2 linked regions of the Drosophila melanogaster genome follow. The protein of the gene in region 2 interacts with the protein of the main gene of each other region in a pairwise test. Each region holds a gene or a part of one and is shown on either strand. Other genes may lie near its edges.

Region 1 (3,760 bases), on a different chromosome or scaffold from region 2:
CTCGTGCAGTTCCATGGAACTTTGCATTGCTTTGCTGGAACTGGACGAGGCGTCCACATCGTCTGGGCATTCCCTGATCTCGGGCAGTGGTCGGAGTCCGCGGGCCTCGTTGTTGAACAGACTGTTGAAGCCCAGGGATACGGACAAGTACTGCCTGTGCAGATCCGTAATCCTGTCGGAGTAATTGGGCCGCTCGTTGCAGAAGATATCGAAGTCACTCAGCGGTTCGCTGGGCGAGCGAATCTCTGCTGCACTACTGTTGCCATCATTTGAATCCTGCAGATAAATTCATTTATTCGATTTGTTTATGAGTTTTTAGATGTGCATTATACCTTTCCCGATTCCCTCTCGTAGCGATTTGGATGGCCACAGTGCCTCTGCCTGCGCGTTCTCCTCCGGCGGTAGTTTCCCTGTTCGAACATGTCCGATGCCGATGAGTCCAGCATCCAGTAGCTTCCCTTCCCAGCACTGTCGTTATCCTCGATTGTGTTCTTGTCCCGCGGAATCTTCACGAAGCAGTCGTTGAGGGACAGATTGTGGCGAATGGAGTTCTGCCAGCCCTGCTTGTTCTCCCTGTAATATGGGAATCTAAAAAATAATTGGATATTATCCAATTAATTAATTAATTAGGAGCTATATTTCCTTGACATTTTTATCAAATTTTGAAAGGGTAAACATATATACTTTATTTTCAATAAATTAACAATGGAAAAGATATTTTATAAATATAAATCGAATGCGTGTTTATCAAAACTATTTACTTCAGAATTTCACAGCTTTGAATATCTGAATTTGTATATATAAAAATCATTTTACAATCTGAAAAACTTGCTGTTGATACACATCTTATTAGCCCATATCTATATCCTCCGCTGGTTTGTTTAAATCAAGCGATTTGAAAAAGCAATAAAAATAATATTTGTTTATGTTGATAAAGAAATCGGAAATATTTAGTTTACAAACACATTGTTCATTTTCCTGTTTTTCAAATTACTTGCGATCTATTTTATATATCTGGCCGCCATTTTTTATGCACTCTGTTCATTCAGGAAAGGAAATATATACATATATATTTTAATATTTGTTAAAGATATGACTAATAAATTTAAGCCAATAAATGAAACCATTTCATATGGATAATTACCAAGTAATCTGCGTGATATTTATATATTTTCACATTAAGAAATTGGATTAATGCTCCATATTTCACCGACTTAATCCCAGTTGTGGCAAAAGTTTCGTGATAAAAACTTCTTCTCGGGATAAAAACTTCTTTGGTTTGTACAGATACTTGGAATGTGGCGGTTGTTTATTTTGGCATTTGATTTAGCCAAGAATGTCATCTAAATTTTCCTCGATTTAAGACAAGGCGGAACATTTATTTTTGTAGGATTGTAAAAACAAGAGCTTTAGTAGAATATATGTACAGAAATTGGAAATTTTATTTGCTGATTTACAAACTAAATTCACTTATTGATCTATCAAAGATCTCGTATTTTTGTATTGTTCAATTAACTTACTTATCCATGATAAACTTGTAGATTCCACTGAGGGTCAGTCGCTGGTTGGGTGCACTGCTGATGGCCATGGCGATGAGGGCAATGTAGGAGAAAGGAGGCTTTTCCGGTCGATGGGAGTTGTGCAGAAAGGATATAGGCAATCCCCAGATGTTGTTGTGCAGGGCCAGAAAGCTATCGATGCCCTGGTAGTAGAAGGCCGGTGAAAACGATCCGCACATCAGACCCTCCATGCCCGCACCTCCGACGGCACTTGGAGCCAGCGGATTGGGTGACACCTGGGTCCTGAGATAATCCGGATTCGCTAGCATGGAGTTGACCAGCTCCTCATTATCCGGCAGCATCGATCCATTGGCATAGCAAGAGGGTAACATTTTTCAAAACGAAATCCCAGTAACTTGATTCAAAGTTCTTTTATACTCTTTATGTATCTTTCGGGAACTTTGTTTCGAATATCACTTCACATTAACTTGTTAGATATTTAGGATTTTTGTCCTGTTTTCCGGTTAGCTGTTACTTCCGATTTTGTGGGCGATTCGAGCGCGACTGTGGACCATGTGTTGCGTCAGCCAAGAAGTCCGATCGACTAATGAATGAACTCGGATACGCAGATCACTTGTAATGCCTCATCCCAATCTTATGGGTGTGTGTTTTTGGGGGAGAGCAGCGCATTGGTCTATAAATATAGGGATATGCAAACACCCTCACCAAAAGATCCACACATGCGTAAGTTCTCAGAGAGGGGAAAACAATTTTCCTTGAAAAATTTAAATTTTATTAAGGAAGAAATTGAATAAATTGAAATATGAAATAAGTATAATATATTTGAGATTATTATGTTATAATATAATAAGATGATGTTGTTAATATTTAAGTGTATTCAGTTATTAACTTTGTAGTACTAGATTTAGATTGATTATATCATTACTAATTAATATCCTTGCTTATACTATATCTTTTTCGCATATACCCGTTATATGGCAGATCTCTCTTTTGAGGGGGCGTTCCTACAAATATGTTCTCTACTCTTTCCATGTTTATTTATGTCCATTCTCATTTGCCTGTATTTTCCTCGATGGGCGGAGTCAAGACCTTTTCCCCATGTGTGAGTGAGTGTGGGAGAGTCCCAGTGTGTTTTGAATAATATGTAGATTTTGATTTTTCAACAAATGAAAATCGAGCAAAGTTTACACTTGAATTACGGGCACTTGAAAGGGAATTTTTAAATCTTTGGAAATAATGTAAAGCTTCTAGGATCTCATGCGTACATCGTTAGTCCCAGTTATTAAAAAAGATTATACTGCAGTATTATGATAGGTTACATATGTATGTATGTAATCATTGCGTGAGTTAGTCACTAATTTAGCCTTTTTCTGGCTTGAAAAAGTTCATTTAGATGTTTAATCATTTTATAACTTTCAAATCTCTTGATAGCACTCACTAAAGAGCTTTGATAACTCGTCAGTTCAATTGGTTTGTAAACATTATTTAAATAAAGCGATTCCAAGAAGCACTCCGTTTATACATTCCACCGGATAGCAGCTGGCAAGATAATGCCAGAAGTCGGCATTATCTGGTCCCTTGACATCCCATGCTATCTCGTGGCAGTTGCCTTCCGATTTTTACGACTTTTCCGAGCGAACGAAGGAAAGCGAGAGTAAACTCGCGGCAGTCAAGTACGCAATTTTCCGAATGCAACCGAAAGTCTTGGTCTATATCTTAAAAGGTCGTAAAACAATTGTGTATACATTTCAAACAGGACTACGCTCGATTTTTACGATCGTTCCGTTCTCAAGTAGAAAGCAGAGATCATTTGAAAGAAATAAAAACATTGAACGCAAATCGAAGAACTGAAAATCCAAAATGCCCGAAGCAATTGAAGTTCACATGTGTGGATGATGCCAATGCCACAAAGGATTCTTCACGCTCTCTCCCGATTTATTCAAATTTTACGATCGCTTACCGCTGGTGAGAATGGGTCATAAAACAATGGGTTATCCTATGGCCCATGGTCCTCCGATTCTCTCGAAGATGTCGCTGCCCTGCGTGTTTAGCTTGCTTATTTTTAGACCTATGCTGGGAATAGTATTGGAAACAAATATTGTTTTTTATGGCCCAGCTCGGTTTGGTCTGATTTCGTCTTCGAACACCGATCGATGTTTTTCGTTGTGAAACTATGTTTTCCTATGCATTTCACCGCATCTTTTTTGACATATCCCTCGCACTAAGCCATAAAACGCCTC
Region 2 (3,436 bases):
CGTAAATTCTTTTTAATTTTATTTGTAAAATTCGTGGGCCTAGCCCACTGTTTCAAATATTAGTCACAACCTGGTAATCTAACACCTGAGCGGCTTTAATAAAGAGCTCTTATCTTAGTCCCCACCAAATCTATATGCAATAAATGATAAGTCTGTTGCGTAGAATTGGTAGCAATTGGGAAGGGGAACTTTTTACCTCATTAACTTGAAGAGTTGATTGGCAACTCTTCATGATTTATGGTCAAAGATTATTTACATTTTTATTTTCTAGAATATATGCAATGGTTACATTTTAGTCCATCTTAATTAGTTTTTTTCTTGTAGAAAAATGCTTTAATTTATAAATACGATTGTAATTGTGTTGATTAGTAAACTTTATAAGCTAATATATATTAATGCGTACCCATAAGACTCTTAAACAAACAGTCAGGATCTCCTAGGTGAACAAGATAGAAATGAAAATCAATATTGGATTTCCATGTAGAAAATTTTACGCATTTTTTATGATAAGATCCCATTGTTCGTTATCTTAAATGATTTTATTTTTAATTCAAATAAATATTGTACAATCAAAAGGTAGTTGAAATACTGTTTAGCTCCGTCGTCAGATTATAAGTTTAGCTTAGAACTTTGGCCAAAATCACGGCAATGGCGGATCCCACGATTGTATAGACACTGCTGCTGTAGGTTCCAGCTGGATTGCAGTAGTCGGTGCCGCATTGGAGGCACTTCTTGCTCCATCCACTCGCGGTGTTGTTCAGGGAAAGATTGCAGACATTCGTTTCGTTGAAGACGCAGCCCAGGAACTCAAAGGTGTGAGTGTAGTCTGAAAAGGGATGCAAAACAAGTTAGGATGTCTTCTTTCAAAAGCGTAAATCAGAAAAAAAAAAAACATACTTGCTGCATGATAGTAAGTGAGATTGGCACACGAAAAACTCAGACTGCCATTAACGGTGGGCACATTACTATGGTATCCTTCCAGAAATTCCTTATTGGCATTGGCCGTCGAATTGGAGCAGGTTTCGGAGGAAGGACTTTTGCATCCAGACGGCGATGTGCACTTGGAGCAGGTCAGTGAGTTGGCTAATATATAAAAATATTCCATTAGCAAAGATTCAACTTTGTGATCACTTTTTCTTCTCACCAAACGGCACAACCACAAAGGCCACAAGCACCACACAGAAAATTATTTTCTTCCACATTTCGATAGGTTAATATTATTCCTAATAATTATAAGCGCAACTCTTCGTAAGGCTACCTCAAGCGAAACTGAATCAAGTGTAGCCGATAGCTGCTCAATTTGTAGTCCAACATTTTACCTCAATAAAAGCGGCTTTTATGTCGGTTATAAAGATTAGATTATGTTATCACTAGGCCCGCAAACCCACTTTGAGTCAGGAATTGTTGACTAAAGCCAAATACGGGGATTTCTGCTGATGAAGTGCATTTTCAGGTCGGCGGATAACTGTTATCAAATAAATTCCAATGTGATAACTAAAGCCAAAATGGGAACAGAACTCTTCCCAAGTTTTATATGCTTTTCCGCATGAGTCTATGTAAAGTTAAATCATTATGCAAGTATTGCCAATTGATAGGTGACATACAATGGCTTATTTATACCAATGTCTAACATCCTGATTATTAGCTGATAATATTCCAATAAATGATACCCGCCATGTTTATAACATACGTTTTATATGTGAGACAAAACAAGGCTATAAAATACTATAATACTATATGTATGTGTCTCAGAATATATTTTTTAGTATTATTATTAGTTATTAAAAGTTAAGTTTGTTTATGTGAGGTAATGTCTGAAGTCGATATGAATTCATGACGATGAGTAATAAGCTTCAACCCAGATAAGAAACCCTAAACGTTCATCATAAATTAATTTGAAATAAAAACCGATTGTGAATGTAATATTAAAAGTTTCTACCTTATAAACAAAAAGTGATTCATTTGCATTGGGCTATGACAACAGGATGAAGTAAGAAATAAATAAAATGTTCAATTAGTTTAGAACCTAAGATTTAGTTAAAAGGAAGAAAGCACATAGCTTAGCCGCCAAGTAAACTCACGATAAGCCACAAAAAAATGATTCCATACTATTTTTTGTTGCTCAAGCCAAGGGATAATTTCAACAATACTAGAAAAGGACTCGCCGTAGGTGGAATTGAAAATCATACATCACAATCGTGGGCATTGCCCCGGACATGTCACGAATAGCTAAGCAGCTATAACAACAAGGATGCTAAGCCGCTGTCAAGGATGCGTAGGAGAATATAACAAATGACAGGACCAATGACTGACTTTGCATTGCATTGGGAGGGAGCACTCCAATTTGGCAAGAACGAAAGAAAAAAAAAAAAACAATGGATCGCCTGCGGTCGAGATTTAAAAAGTACGTGTATCCGAGTGTCCAAACAGGTAAACAACAGAATTACAATATGCTTTCTTAAAAATTAAAAAGGAAAAAAGTAGCAGACAAGAAGCAGCAGCGAGCTCTTTCCGACAGGACAATAAGCAAGGATAAGCATCGAAATGATGATGATGATGACGATGGCGGTGGTGCTAAGAGCTGGCAAGACAAATACAAGCACAAACATAGATACAGATACGCGACAGGCGACAACGATAGCAAAAGTCGAGGAGTCTGACAGATACATTTTAGTCCTGTTGCGGCTCCTGTTTGTCTACTTTTTCCGCTTTTTGTTCCTGCCCTTTTTGTCCTGGCCACATTTCCGCTTGCACATTTCACTCGTATTCCGGTCACGTATCCTTTTTAATCCTGACAAGAATATTATTTCCATAAAAAACATACATACACGCTCACTCACAGGAAGAGCGACTTGCGGCACCATCCCGGCAGATCAAGCATACGCCGCGTTGGCCACCACCTAACTAAGTCGTAGACATAGACAACCCGCAACGGCCCTAGAGCAGATGTATTTAATCTTTCGAATATATATATTGCCATACAACTCCAACCCTATAAACAAATTTAAATAAGTAGAAAGACGAATTCGTTAACACAAAAGATATACAACTTTTTGTTTTCAAAGAAAACATTTTCGAAGTTAATACATTTGTTAGTGGAATATAGCTTAAAATTTAAACATTAATTAGGTATAGGACAAATAACCAATATTATTATTTAAATATAGTCCTTAATTTACTATTCCTTATTATTCTCAATTGAAGAAAGGTTAAGGAGCACAACGAAACTCTTTTCTGTCCTCATTAATATGCAGTCTGTCATTGCGAATGCAAGGATTCAATAGGTTTTTTTATGCTTTCGACAATATTTGTTGTTCACATAACAAATTACAAAAGCTGCAAAATAATTTATAACAATCGATTGTTGTTGGACCATCTGGACACAGCCACACACACTCACTCGCCTTTGGACGGACTGGCTAAGAGAACAACAATG

Evidence for each region. The genes of interacting proteins can lie anywhere in the genome.
Region 1: the proteins of CG9568 (region 2) and FoxL1 interact in a two-hybrid assay, tested with the Drosophila melanogaster proteins (one large-scale study listed by BioGRID).

Annotation. Positions count from the first base shown.
Region 1 is NT_037436.4:4,017,225-4,020,984, reverse strand, and holds the start of FoxL1 (forkhead box L1), read right to left. Parts: upstream 2,108-3,760; 5' UTR 1,892-2,107; coding exon 1,521-1,891; intron 589-1,520; coding exon 333-588; intron 277-332; coding exon 1-276. UniProt on the Drosophila melanogaster protein: Transcription factor. Coordinates the placement and migration of various organs during embryogenesis, including the salivary glands, hemocytes, germ cells and Malpighian tubules.
Region 2 is NT_033779.5:9,008,426-9,011,861, reverse strand, and holds CG9568 (uncharacterized protein), read right to left. Parts: upstream 1,280-3,436; 5' UTR 1,203-1,279; coding exon 1,145-1,202; intron 1,084-1,144; coding exon 898-1,083; intron 827-897; coding exon 618-826; 3' UTR 504-617; downstream 1-503.